2 linked regions of the Alligator mississippiensis genome follow. The protein of the gene in region 1 interacts with the protein of each later gene in a pairwise test. Links are inferred from orthologs where the notes say so. Each region holds a gene or a part of one and is shown in the gene's direction. Other genes may lie near its edges.

Region 1 (7,553 bases):
CGTTTCATGTTTCACAATACATTCTAAGTTACTGGAAGAAAAAAGTTCTCTGTTGCCAGAAATATGCCTGAATTACAGCTGAGTAAGAAGCTAGTGATAAGTGATGGCAACATTTTGTATGTAGTTTTCTCTCTGGTGTGACTATGTTGCAACCTTGAAAAAATATAGACTCTTAGAATCACAGAACTGACAAGGACCTCAAGGCTCATCTAAGTCCAACCCCAGCATAGAAACACTGCCACAAAACTATCTGTTACAAACACAAGTACTCTTTCACCCCAAATTTTAACTCCTTTGCCCCCGGCAATATGCCCCTGTGACAGATCCTGGAAGAAGAGTCTTACAGCCCCTTTTTGTGTGTTTGGAGGTTACTTTTTCCATGCATTTCTGTTATTACAATGATGTAAATTTAAGGAATTGAGGACTCAGTGAATTATCATCATACACTAACCTTGACCACTGAGATACTGACCTCAAAAAGGCCCCTTCCCGCTTGTGCTCATTCAGTTTCCTTAGCTTTCTGATATTCGCTGCCAGATAAAGAGAGAATGGCAGAAACTCAAATTCAGAGACAAGATAAAATGAAAAAACTTCCTCAAGGCTTTTGCTAAGGCTGTTTTACAGCACATGAGAACTTTCCTATCAGCCTCCATCATAGCTGCCAGATTCTACTACAAGAAAGCAAGCTAGGGGGTGAACTATTTAATCTGTCCTGACTGTTTGCAACCTGATTCAGAACTAAGCACCATGTGGTGCAAAGGCTTATGGTTCTACTTCACTGAAAAGACCGTATACTTTTAAGAAGCCAAACAGCATGGCTCTGTATCTCTACCACCAGCTCAGAGTCCAGTTGCACTCCTGGAGTTCACTACATTCACTCACCAAAAAGTTCTGGACACCTTTAAAGGAGTTGGGCCCATTCTGACCCCTGCCCATTCTGCCCTGTGAAAGAATCAGGGACAGTGGGTGCCCCATAGAGCCAACACACCATTCAGAGATTCCTGTTTCATGCACCCACAGTCCAACTGACATTGGAAGAGCCTCCTTCCTCCTCCCCACAGCTAGATGTATTCATTTAACTAGCTGCCACTCAATGTTGCACCTCCCATTCCTAAATTGTAGAGACAAAGGCTCCCTGCAAGCTCATCTAAATGGAACCACTATCCAGACTCAGGCTAGGACACAACTGAATACAAGAACTGCCAGCCAGGATGAGACCCAACTTGCTCAGTGCTGTCTCCAGCAGTAGCAAGGAGCTTCAGAGGGAGAGTATAAGAAATGGGTTGTGTGGAGAATCATACTCTCCCAGATGCTCAAAGTCATGCATCCTAAGCCTGAGTTCACACCCCTGGTTGTTGTATTTAATAGCTCCATGGACCTATCCTCCATAAAAACTGACCTTGATTATACTATTAGCCTTCACACGGTCCTGTGGCAAAGAGTTCCACAAGTTATTTATGTGCTGTGTAAATCAGCATTCCCTTTTGTTTGTTGTAAACCCGACATTGATCATTTTAAACTGAAAATAGTTTAGTGGCAGTGATGGATGCTCATCTCCTGTGAATGGACAGAGGGCAGACATCCATTCTCATCTTTCTCATCCCCTCTGTGCCATTTGGAAGGGCACACTAAATGAACAGTGATAGGAAATGGTACCTTAACTTTGGAGTCACACAAGATTCAATTCTCACTCTGGTCCTTTTCAACAGCCACGTGCAGCAATGAGGTGAACCGGTCTGACGATACAGGCTCATCTTCCAGCAATATGCAGGTGATACGTAGCTCTCCCTGACCTTCATCACATATGAGCACATCATTGCCACCATAGCCAAGGGCCAAGTGCTTGACTGAAACCAGATCATGAGTAAAGAGCAGTGTGCCACTGAATCCAGGTCCAACAGGTAACACTGGTGGACAGATGAAAGCAAGTTGAAGCATTTATGGTTGTGCTGTAGTCTCATTTAGTTGAAGACACACACCCAAATTAAAGCAACTGGATATTGCTATGCTCTCAAAAACCTCTGTGAATGTTTCTGGACAACTCCATCCCATCCTAGCAGATTATGAGCTGGCCTCAGTTATACCAGATGTCAGCACCCCTCCAGTGGACCACAGTGATGCAGTATACCTGGGCATAAAGACTTCAGTAGCTAGGAATCTCCAATGAATAGAAAATTCTGCAACACACTTCTGCAGCACCACAGGCCACTACGAGTACATCCAGGGTGTCTTCCGTTCTGCGCAGTCAATTCCTTCAGAATTTTGAATCAAGTTCAAGGCTTGTCCTTATCTTCAAAGCACCCTGTGGTCTGGCCTCAGGATGTTTAAAAGACCACACAGTGCTCCGAGGGAAAAAAAAAAAACCAACACAGCTGAGAGCTACATTTCTCTGGCAAAGGAAGATCTCTTTGCAAGAAAGATAGAGCTCATTTGTGCAGGACACTGAACCTATTTCGAGACTGTGGAATGAAGAGTCCCAGAAACAAAGACCTGCACTTCCTTTTTCTCGAAGTGCAAGGCTCATCTTTTGACCTCGACTTCTCTGACATCAACCCAGAGCAACAATGTTGATTTATTTATTTTTTAAGAAGGTAGGAAAAGACCCTCAAAAACCAAACCAGAGTCCTTAAGAGTCAGCCAAAATAAGATGCACCAATGCACACACTTCTTCCGTGGGGGGGAAATGAGAGAACACGCAGCGCATGAGAGAGGTCAGATGTATTGCTGAGGGCACTCAGATGTGACCGTGATGAGCACAACAGAAGAACCAACACCGGCTCCTGAAGCCGTGCGACAAGCAGCTGCACCCTCAGCTCCTCCCAGCCCTCACCAGCTTTGTGTATGTCAGCCGTGAAGCAGAAGGCAGCATGTGCGCGAGTCCACGAGGGGGAGAGCAGAGACCCCCGCCCTGGTAGGATAATCATGTGTGGCACCTGCTACAGCAGTGGTTCTCAACATTTTTAGACCCAAGGCACTCCTCCTTAGACTCAAATACCCACTGTTATACTCAAGTCACTGCTCCTTAGACTCAGACTCCCCCTTCTTAGACTCGAGGCATCCCTCAGACTCGAAGGCCTCCTCTTTAGACTCAAGGAACCCCTCCTTAGACTCAAAGGCTGCCTCTTTCGAGTCAAGGCACCCCTCATTAGACCCAAAGGACCCTTGTTAGTCTCAAAGGCCCCCCCATTTGACTCAAATACCCCCTCATTTGACTCAAGTCACCCCTCCTTAGACTCAAATCCCCGCTTCTTAGACTCGAGGCATCCCTCAGACTCCAAGGCCACCTCTTTAGACTCAAGGCCCCCTCATTGGACTCAAAGGCTCCTTCATTAGATCCAAAGGCCCCCTCATTAGTTTCAAGACACCCCTTGTTAGACTAAAATATCCCCTCGTTAGACTCAAGGCACCCTTGTTAGACTCAAAATGCCCCACATTAGACTCAAGGCACTCTTATTAGACTCAAGTCACCCCTCATTAGACCAAAAGCTACTCATTAGACTCAAGGCACTCCTCATTAGACACAAATGCACCCTTGTTAGACTCACAAATCCCCCCATTAGACTCAAGGTACCCTTGTTAGACTCAAAGGCTGCCTCTTTAGACTCAAGACACCCATCATTAGATCAAAGGCTACTCATTAGACTCAAGGCCCCCTCTTTAGACTCAAATCACCCTTGTTAGACACAAGGCACCCCTCATTAGACTGGAGGTCTCCTTGCTGGACTCAAACCCCCGCTTCTGACTGTAGGCAAACAACACAGCAGTTTATCCGTTGCAAAGCACTGCGCTCCCGTATGACCCCGTTCCGCTCAGGCCGGGGCCGCCCGGGGACTACATCTCCCAGGAGCCCCTGCGGCCGCGCCGCTCCTTCCCCCTCCCGTCGGGGCCTGGTGACGTAGCCGAGGGGCCGGGGCCAGGGCCGCGCGCCGCTCCTTCATTGGCCGCCATTTCGCGCTGCCGGCTCCATGAGCGGGAGCCGGCGAGGAGGTTGGGCTTCCGGGGTTGGCCCCGCCCCTTCCGCCCGGCGTTCCTCGCCCCCCTCCCTCGGGGGATGCAGTGCCTTCAGCGGTCCCGTGGGCGGAGAAGCCCGGGTGTCTACCCCCGTGCAGCGAGGATTTAGAGCTGATTTGACCTGGAATATGAAAAATTTCCAAAAAATTATTGGAAAAAATACCCTTTACAAGCTGTGGGGCGCAAACCCCCTCCCTCGGGCAGGGCAGACCGTTATCCCAGGGCGCCTGCGCGCACTGGTACTGCACAAGCGAGGAGAGCCCCGAGCCCACCTCCAGCTGCCCCACAGTCAATCACAGCGGCCGCGTGTCCTGGTGGCAGCCCCTTGCACCAATAGGAAGCAGCCTTCGCCTCCAGCCAATAGGAACGCCGGGGAGATCTGGGTGGGGGCGGGAAGTAGGGCTGAAAGGAGCGGGTGGGGTTTGTTTTGCTCTCGCGAGGCTTCGCGGGATCCCGGGTCACGTGGGGGCTCCGGGCCAATCGGCGGCGTGGAGCCTGGGGCCGCCGAGGCTCCCGCCAAATACGAGCGGGAGAGGCGGGCGCGCCCCGGTCGCTGCGGCCGCGGGGGGGTCGGGCCTGAGGGAGCGGGGCCGCTCCGCCGCATGGCAGGTACGGCCCGGGGCGCCGCGCTGGGACGGGGCCTCCGCGCTCGGCGCGTAAAGGAGCCGGTGGGGAGGGGGGATGGAGCCTCCTCCGCGCCCGATTTGCCGCTCCGCTGCCTCCCTGCTCCCTGCCCCGGTCCTCATCTCCCGCTCTGCTTTCTGCTCCCTGCCCCGTGCTCCCCTGCCTGATCTATTGCGCTGCTGCTTGCTCCTCGTCCCTTACTCCCCTGTCTGATCTGCTGCTCTGCTTTCTGCTCCCTTGCGTGCTCTGCCCCCTGGCCTGTGCTCCCCTGCCTGCTCTGCTGCTCAGCTTTCTGCTCCCTGCCCCATGATCTCATCTGCTCTGTGTCCCCCCCATCTCCCCTGCCTGATTTGCTGCTCTGCTCCCTGCCCTGTGCTTCCCCACCTGATCTGCTGCTCTGCTTTCTGCTCCGCCGTGCTGCTGCCGCCTCTTCCGTGTCCTTTACTTCCTTACCTGATCTGCTCTGCGCTGTGCCCCGGGCTCCCCTGGTTGATCTGCTGCTCTGCTCCTGTTCTTCCTCTGCCTGATCTGGGGCTCCTCTCGCTGCTCCTGGGCTGCCTGTCGCCGCCCCGGTCCGGGGCGCTTGTCACACGTGTGCTGCTGGTTGTCCCTCCCCGCTCTCCATTGCCGAGAGCAGCGAGCAGAGAAGACTTGCGCCGTATCGACTCAGCGGAGCGGATGGATGGACGGATGGATGCGTCTAGCACAAGCTTTCGTTTGCTGAAGCTCGCTTCGTCGGATGCTTTAGTCCAGGAAAGCATGTGCTACGTGCATCTCTGTCCTGGTTAGCGTGAAAGGTGCAGTTCTCCCCTGCCGTCTGTCTGACTACAGACCAACGCGGCTAACTATGTCTCTACGTTAATAAAAGTGCGATTAGGCTAAGGAAATCCTTTTTTTGTTTGTTTGTTTGTTTCTCTGTTTAGTAGGAAATGCTCATTTTGCATAATGTACCCAGCGATGACAGCACTAAATATCAGTTTATTAATTATGTCCTGAACGCCTGTTGAAAATAGAGTTAAACATAACCGGGCAGCTGTTTATCTGCTCTTTTGTCTTGCAGCTATGGAATGCAGAGACAAGCCAGTTGTTCCCACAAGAAAACTAGTGCAAGGTAAGCTTATGAAAGAAGGGTGATTTTTTTTTTTTTCCCCTCTCCCCTCCCACCTGTCACCCAACAACTTGCTTTTTTAATGCCTCAGATGTAGTAAGGTTTGCTAAATGTATCATGCTTGGGTGCATAACATATTCTTTGCTAGTCTGCACTAGGTTTTCTTGCTTTTTGAAGAACTCATTAAGTAACTTAATGGCTAATTTCCCTCTGCTGATTTTTGTACGGCTTTACTTAAATAGTGAAATCTTACTGTTTCAGCTCGGTTGCCTTTCAAGCGTTTGAATCCAGTACCAAAGGAGAAGTATGATGCCGACTTGGAAGTCAAGAAAACTAAAAGCTCGCAAAACGTTTTTGGACAAAGTAACGACTCTTCTCTAGATACGTCCCACACTTCCATGGACAATGTGGAGAATGACTGCCAGTTGGATCCTGAAATGCATTTTGCTCCAAAACTGGTTAATGGAAAGGGTCCATTAGATAACTTTATACAGAAAAGCACAAAGAGTAACACAAGTGAAACTGTACTTGTAATTGACTTGACAGAGGACACTGACCACAGACTAAGTGATGAAATTGACCACGGTAAATTAAATTTAGCAGCATCTTCATCTATAAAAACAGCTAATGGGATCTTAGAAAAAGATACAGACCAGTTAAGTCCATTAAAACCCCTTCAGAATACCCGAGTGGATGCTTCAATGGACACCAACTCGCTATGTGAAGCTACAGCAAATAAGGACGAAGACTTGACGGATGCAACCAAATCTTGTTCTGAATTATCAAATACACAGTGTAATGATTTAGAAAATAAGAGGGTCAATGAGAGTGAACTCAAGGGGATCATACTGGGGAGAAAGATGCCTGTTGTAGTCCTAGAGGATATCATGACTGCAAGGTCACCCCAAGTTGCATCTTTAGAAGGAAGTATGATGTCAGAAAGTGAAACAATGGAATCTTCTTCTCCTGAAAGAAACTCTGTACTTACCCTTTCCTCACTAAGCTCCCCCTCTTCTATCAGCTCACCTGAGGTTCATCCTGCCCTAGAGAACAAGAGCGATACTAGTCCCTTAGCTTCAACGCCTGTTCGGAAGGTTGGTCTCTTTGTTTTATTTGCGTGTAGCCAGCAAGACCTCTCATCTGCAACTAAAACTAATAATTTTTTCAATACCTTTGTTTCTAAAAAATATTGGCAAAGGAAATGATATAAAACCGATTAATCTTTTTATGGGTGAAATTTGCAGCCAAGATATGATTGCCTCCTTGACTTCTTTTTTTTTAAGTGCAATTTTTAGCTGAAGAGTTGGCCTTTTTTCTGTTTTTAAAAGTACTCATTAATATGCACAATATAAATATATTTCCAGCAGTACATCCTGTTGTCATAGATTAGCTCTATCATAAGATACCTGCCTTATGACTTACTACGTTAGGACATAGAGTGTGGGAGAACAGTGTGGTAAGGTGTTATGTGATGCTGTAGAATCTCATGTTCCTGTATGGAGATTGTATGAATTATTTCCAAGTTTACTCACAACAGTAAGACTTTCAGCTTAAAAATGGGAACTCATTGGATGTTATTGTCTACAGGTACATACAAATATGTTCAAAAGTAATTTCTATATGCAAACTGCTTGAGCCTCAGAGAATCTGACGAAGTGAGCTCAGGCTTACAGAAACTTATGTATCTCTGATTTATGTTAGTGTTATAAGGTGCATCTTTCCCCTGCATTCTGTCTGAGGGATAGACAACCACGCACTAATTGTAAGTGTTATTTTGATATATGACCCAGGTAGCTGTAAAATCCCTTAT
Region 2 (6,990 bases), on another chromosome or scaffold:
ATGTCAGCCTTTCCTATACAGCATTATACTCCTGTTGTTCCCAAGCTGTCCCACCCCAGAGTTGGCTGCATCTCAGCCCTCTGTATACAGTATTATTATTCTTAGCTGTTCTCTGGATGTTCCATCCCAGAGCTGGCTGCATCTCAGCCTTGCCAGTTCAGTGTTAAACTCTGCTGTTCCCTAGCCATCCCAGCCCAGAGCTGGGCACATCTCAGCCCTTCCCATGCAGTGTTATACGCAAGTGTTCCAGCCCAGAGCTGGGCACTTGGCCTTCCCAGTGCATTGTTATATTCAGCTATTCCCCAGCCATCCAGTCCCAGAGATGGCCAAATTTTAGCCATCCCTGTGTAGTGCTGCATTCGGCCTATCCTCAGCCATTCCACCCCAGAGTCAGTTGCATCTTAGCCCTCCCTACACGGTGTTATGCTCAGCTGTTTCCTAGCTGTCCTACACCCCAGAGCTGGTTGCATCTTGGCACTTGGCAAGGCCCCTGTAAGGTGTCCCTTCCACTGTAACCCCCACTCTTTGCTCACCCTTCTCTGCAGTATGAGAGCCAGACGTCCTTTGGATCCATGTACCCCACCCGCATCGAGGGGTGAGTTGGGACCACTGGGGTGTGTCCAGCATATTCTTTTCCCAAGGGCTATGTGAATTCTGGTTGTTTGTCTTCCCCAACTGCCCCCATCCCACCAAGCCCAAACTTTGGTTCCTACCTACATTACAGTGTTCCCCTCTCTACTGCTTCTCATTTCCTTTCAGATGCCTGGGGGTTCTCTGGGAGGGGAACAGGGGCTGGGAGGTATGAGCTGGGAGCTTGCTGGTCCCATGGAACCCCTCATCCATCTGTCCCCTCTCTCCATGTCCCTAGGGCCACCCGCCTGTTCTGTGACGTCTACAACCCCCAAAGCAAGACGTACTGCAAGCGGCTGCAGGTGTTGTGTCCCGAGCACTCCCGTGACCCCAAGGTAGAGGATGGGGAGCTGAAGGTTGAAAGTGAGGGGCACCATGGGGGGGGGGGTGGTGAGTGTGTGTGTGTGGGGGGTGCTGTGGGTTGGTAGTGAGGGCCACTGCAGAGCCTTGGAGGGGGGGTCAGGAGTGAGGTGGCCACCATGGGGCTGGGGGCAGTAGAGGCCTGTGTGGGGTGCAGCACTGGTTGAAAGGTGAGCAGTAGAGACTATAGTTGTGGTTGGGGGGGAGGGGGTGACACTGGAGGGGTTGTGGGTGGGGCCAAGGGTGTGGGTGGGGCTTAATAGATTGGGTATAGAGGAGTGGGGCTGTTGCAAACCTGTAGGCAGGGCCTGAGGTGGGCTGGGAAGGAGGGAGGGATGGGGATCATTGGTGGGGCCTGGAGGTGGTAGGTGGGGCCAGCAGTTCCCTGACCCTCTCCTTTGTCCCCCTTCCTGCTCCCCCCAGGTGCCCGCGGACGAGGTGTGCGGGTGCCCACTGGTGCGGGACGTCTTCGAGCTGACAGGCGATTTCTGCCGTGTGCCCAAGCGCAAGTGCAACCGGCACTACTGCTGGGAGAAGCTGCGGCGCGCAGAAGTTGACCTGGAGCGTGTCCGTGTGGTACGGCCCACTGGAGTGGGGGAGGGGCAGGGCTTTGGGAGTGACTGTGTGGTATGGACCACTTGCGGGGCCTGGCCTGAGATTCAGGTGGTATAGCCCAAATGGAGGGGTGGGGCCTTGGATTGGCTACTTGGTAGAGCCCACATGGGGTCGGGGAGGTCTGGGGGATAGATCTATGATACAGTCCATGGGGTGGGCCTGGGATATGGCTTTGTGGTGCAGCCCACAGGGTTAGCAGGGCTGGTGTGGGGATGTCTGTATGGTATGGCCTACATGGAGGGTGGGGCCAAGGGCACAGCTTTGGGGTATGGTTCACACCTAAGGGCAGGGGCTGAGGATGGTCATGTGGTACAGCCATATGGTACTGCCCATGGTGGGGGTGCTCAGGGTACAGCCTGCCTGGGGGGATGGGGCTTTGGTTTATGGGCCCAACAGAGGGTGTGGCCCAGATTATGGTTGCTTGGTATGGCCAGGGCCATGTGGTATGGCCCATATGAGGCATGCATGTGGTACAGCCCGCAGAGGGTCAGGTCTGGTGTAGCCACTTTGTCTTGGCTGGGGGGGCAGGGCCTGGATGTCGACTAGGTGGTACATCCCACAGTAGGGGCTAGACTATACACACTTGGTACAGCCCATGGGGCAGGAGAGCAGGATCATGGGCATTCACCCTCCCTCCTCCCCTCACAGTGGTACAAGTTGGACGAGCTGTTTGAGCAGGAGCGCAATGTGCGGGCAGCCATGACGAACCGGGCAGGGCTGCTGGCACTCATGCTGCACCAGACCATCCAGCATGACCCGCTCACCACTGACCTGCGCAGTGCTGCCCGCCGCTGACTGTGAGCTTGGGGCGGGGGCTGGGCACAGGAGGGGGGGCACTGAAAACTTGCCTTCTCTATTCCCCTCATAGCTACCCAGGGCTGCCCACTCCCACCCTCCACCAATAAGCCTCTGCCAACTCCCCACAGGCCCCTGCCCCCCCCCCCATGCACCACTGCCAACCCAGATCTGGGGCCTTTGTATGCAGTGTTATAATTAGCCATTCCACCCCAGAGCTGGCAGCATCTCGGCTCTTGCTATGCAGTATTATATTCATCCATTTCCCAGCAGTTCCTCCCCAGAGCTTGGCTACATCTTGGCCCTTGTTATGCAGCATTCTACCTGGCCATTCTTGGCTGTTTTATGCCAGAGCCAGCTGTGACTTACCTTTCCCTTTTGGTGTTACGCTCAGCTGTCCTACCCCAGAGCTGGTTGCATCTTTCCTTCCCACACGTGTTGTTACACTTGGCTGCTTAACCTCAGAGTCAGCCACGTCTCAAGCTTTGCTATACAGTGTTATACTCCACTGTTCCCAAGCTGCTCCACCCCAAAGCTGGCCGCATCTCAGTTCTTGCTATGTAGTGTTGTACTGAGCCGTTTGCAAATTGCTGCACCCCGGGGCTAGCTGCATCTAGGCCCTTGCTATGCAGCATTATGTCTAGGCATTCCTCAGATGCTGCACCCTAGAGCTTCACTGCATCCTGTCCATCTCCATGCAGTGTTATGCTCTGCCAGTCCCCAGCTGTTTTACCCCAGAGCCAGTGGTGTCTCAGCCCTCCATCTGGGGCATTAAACCCATCCATTCCCATCTGCACTCCAGAGCTGCCTGCATCTCGGTTCTCCCCATGCAGTATTATACTTGGCTGTTTCCTAGCTCTTCCACCCCAGAGCTGGCTGTATTCCAGTCCCAAGCCCCCTCTGACACCCCTCTTTCTTTCTCCCCTCAGGGTCCCTGTGAGGTGATGCCGGGTGCTCGAACAGCTCTGATCCTTTATTTTTTTAACTCAGTTTTTCTTTATACTTTTTTTTCTCTTCCTCTTTCTTACAAATTTTGAATAATAAAAAAAAGGAAGTGGTGGTGGGGTCTGAGGGGGGAGCAAGGTATTTCCCCCATCCCTACCCCTGGCCTAACTGGGGAGAGGCATGAATGACTACTGCAGCCCTATCCTTGTCTCTGCCATAGGAAGAGCCTGAGCTGGGCCCCTGTTCCCCCCTGTTATGAGGGGGCTGATTCCTAGCCCAGGGGACAGGGGCAGGTATATGCCCCCATCACCTGCACTTTGGGGGGAGTGGATCTCTGGGTCCGTGCTGTTTCTAAGTGCCCTCCTGTCCTCCTCCTGGCATTGGGGGGGGGGGAGAGGCAGGGGGTGACCCTAGTTAATAAAGTTGGCCAGTTAACGAGCTGCCTTGGGTCTGTGTGTTGGGGTCTGGGGGTAGTGACCCCCTGGGGAGAGGGGTGTGTGTAGGGGAGCACTGGAATGTATGGGGATTATACTGGGGAGTAGGGGACACTGGTGAGGGCGGGGGCAGGGGGACATGGAAAGGGAGGTTGCCCTCCCCATGCTCCCATAAAGGCACTGTGGTGCCTGCCCACTGCTACCGCCCACTAGCCCGCCTCTTTGCTGTGGGCGTGGCCTGGGTGGAAAGCCCTGCCCCTTTCCCGTCGGGGCCCGTGTGCATTCCCACCTCTCCCAAGGGTCACGTGCCCCATATCCCCGGGTCAGGTGTTCACGCTGAGCCTCTCGTTACGTCACTTGCTCGGCTCCTCCTCCGCGGGTCACGTGGCCGCACCCGCCTCTTCCCACTTGCTCCCCTTCCTCGGTCTTGCGCGGGCGCCGCTTCCGCTTCCGGCGCGAGCCTCCGCAGCCGCCTCTGCACCCTCCCTTCCCCCCGCCCCGCCCCTCCCCTCCCCGGGGAACGCTCGCGCGCGGCGGCCGTTAACTGCCCGGCTCAACCACAGTGGGCACGGCCATGGCGCGGAGGCGGCGGGGGCCGCTCGGGCCGACGGCCCCCAGAGCGGTGAGCGGGTGTGAGGGCAATGGAGGCGCAGTTGTGGCGGACGGTTGGGGTGCGCCTGGCGGCCGCGGGGAACTGTGAACCGTGAGGAGGTGGGGGGCGGGGTGGTGCGTGGGGGCCTGTGGAGAGTCGATAGAGGCTTATTGAGCGGGGGGGGGGGCTGTGAGGGGGATGGAGGAGGCGGATGTCGAGGGGGCGCTGGGAGGGGAAGCCCTTGGGTCGCTGTTTGTGGAGTGGGGTGTGATGGGCAACTGGGGGAGGCAAGAATTGCTTGGCTACCCTGGGGGCTGTGGGTGGGCAGGGGAAGAGGTGTTGTGGGTACCTGTGAGGTGTACATAGAGGGTTATTGTGAAGGAGGACAGGTTAGGGGCTGTGCAGGCAGTGGGGGGCTGGTGAGCAGTGCTGGGGGCCTGTTTGGGGGGAGGTGCGCATGTTTGGCAGCCCTGGTGGGCTGGGGGAGCAGCTCTGGGGGTGTGTTTGGCAGTTCTGGAGGAGACATGATGGGGGCAGCTGTCTGAGGGAGGAGTGAGGTAGGGGCTGTTGGGAGGGGGGCAGGTTCAGCAGATGTGGGGGGTGTGAGGGGAAACAGGACTGCTGTGTGGGGGTGCTGTAAGGAGAAGCTTGGGGAGGGGGGGGCAGTGAACATCTGGCAGCCTGGGGGAAGTTGTGAGTGAGCAGAGGCAGTTCTGTGTGTGAGGGTGTCTAAACTCTTCCCCTCCCCCAGGCCCTGACCTGCCCCCCTACACACACCTCCTAGCACTCCTGGTCCTTGGGGGCTTGGTGTATGAGGGGGGAGGGGTGGGGGCAGTTAGGAGTAGTTGGAGGGTTGTTGGGGGGGGGGCAGGTTCAGCAGCCCTGGGGGGGGGTTGAGGGGCTGCAGGTGTGTGTGTGGGGGAGGGTTGGGGACAGGTGTGTAGGGAGGGGAGCTGTAAGGAGCAGCTGTGGGGGTGGCTGTTTTGGGTAGCGGGAGCATGTTTGGCAACCTGGGAAAGGGGGGGGGCCTTGAGAAGTAGATGGGGGCTGGTTGGAGGGGAGGGGTGTGTTTGGCAGCAGAGGGGGGGCAGCGGAGGGGGAAGGGGCAGTTGTGTGTGTGTGTGTATGTGTGGGGGAGAGGTTTGGGGGCAGTTGTAAGGAGGCTGAGAGGAATGGGGGGCAGTGCCAGGGGAGAGGGCAGGTTTGACAGCCCTGGGGAGCTGAGGGGGGTGTGTGTGTGGGGGTTTAGCTGCCCTGGTGGGAGAGGTGTGGTGGTGCAGTTTTACTGGGGGGTTTGTGGGGGGTACTCTTTGTGTGTGTGTGTGAGGGAAGAGCAGGAACAGTCGCTTGAGGAGCTGTTGGAGGGCAGTTATTTGGGGCAGGAAAGGCTGAGGGGGGGGCTGTGGAGAGGAGGGCTGGGGCTGACGGGGAAGGGCTCTGTGGGGCAGGAGGACAGGTTCAGCAGCCCTTGTGAGGACGGGCAGTTGTTTGGGGGACTGTTGGAGGAGGAGCATGTGTTTGACAGCCCTTGGGGTGGGGGGTCTGATGTGGGGGGCAGCCGAGGGTGAAGGGGTTGAGGGACTTGGGGGAGGGGCTTCATATTTGGCAGCCCTGAAGGAGAGGAGGGACCTGAAGGAGGGATGTGATGTGAAGCACAATTGTGTGTGTGTGTGTGTGTGTGTGGGGGGTGGGGGCTGTGAGGAGCAGGTTGGGGGGGAGGGCTTTTAGGGGAGGGGGTGCATGTTTGGGAGGGCTGGGGGGTGTGAGGGGGAGGGGTGGTGGCAGGTGCTGTGAGGAACAGGACTGGGGGTAGTTATGGGAGAGCCTTTGGGGGGATGGAGGGGGTACATGGGGAATTGTAGGGAGAGCTATTGTGCTGGGGGAAGGGGGCAATTGGGGCTGTGAGAGGTGGGGAGTTGTGGGGGGTGGGGTGCAGACTTGTCAGGGTGGACGGAGGCTGAGATGCAGTAGGTTTCTGGCAGTTGCCTGGTGGGGATGGGTGTGTGTTTGGCATCCCAGGAGGGTTGTGGGAGCAAGGACATGTAGCCCTTGGGGTGAAGAGGGAAGGGAGTGGGTAGCCTGGAGGGTGTTTGGTACCCCTGGGAGAAAGGAGGGAACAAAGGTGGGGTGTGGGACCAAGGTTTGGGAGGTACAGAGGAGGGAGAATTGAGGCCAGACAGCTGCGGGGGTCTGCCCAAGGGCCAGGGGTGCTAGGTGGGGTATGTGTGTGGATGGGAGGGGGGTGGCAGTTCGGGGCCTGGGGGCAGGGCAGAGTTCGGGGGCAGGACACCGTGGTGGTGGTGGTGGTGGTGGTGGTGGTGGTGGTGGGGGGTTGGGCTCAGCCCTGATCTGGGCCAGGAAGTGCCTGCCACTGAGTCTGTCTAGGGCTGTCTTCTGTCCAGTGAATAAGGGCTGGGGCCTGGGGGCACTGCTGTGGGCTGGCATGGGGGTATGTATGTGGGTGGCTCCATGGGGGAGTGCTGCAGATTTCCCCCCCCCCCACAGATCCTTCCCCGTGACCCTACCCGCCTTGTTTATCTCCCTTCCCTGCTGAAGGGGTGGGGCTTGAGCCTTGGAGTCCTGGTTTTGCCTGGGTGTGGGTGGGTTGGAGGGGCAGGG

What was found. The genes of interacting proteins can lie anywhere in the genome.
Region 2: the proteins of CHAF1A (region 1) and MBD1 interact in binary tests that used the Homo sapiens proteins (3 or more experiments, as listed by UniProt). The link is inferred for Alligator mississippiensis from reciprocal best matches to the Homo sapiens genes CHAF1A and MBD1.

The regions. Positions count from the first base shown.
Region 1 is NC_081839.1:5,305,081-5,312,633, reverse strand, and holds the start of CHAF1A (chromatin assembly factor 1 subunit A), read left to right. Parts: upstream 1-4,490; 5' UTR 4,491-4,613; coding exon 4,614-4,620; intron 4,621-5,695; coding exon 5,696-5,746; intron 5,747-6,004; coding exon 6,005-6,837; intron 6,838-7,553. UniProt on the Homo sapiens protein: Acts as a component of the histone chaperone complex chromatin assembly factor 1 (CAF-1), which assembles histone octamers onto DNA during replication and repair.
Region 2 is NC_081831.1:27,516,348-27,523,337, reverse strand, and holds the start of MBD1 (methyl-CpG-binding domain protein 1), read left to right. Parts: upstream 1-3,983; 5' UTR 3,984-4,353; coding exon 4,354-4,401; intron 4,402-6,990. Other genes in the region: CXXC1 (CXXC-type zinc finger protein 1), read left to right, coding at 546-595, 869-965, 1,414-1,566, 2,254-2,400. UniProt on the Homo sapiens protein: Transcriptional repressor that binds CpG islands in promoters where the DNA is methylated at position 5 of cytosine within CpG dinucleotides. Binding is abolished by the presence of 7-mG that is produced by DNA damage by methylmethanesulfonate (MMS).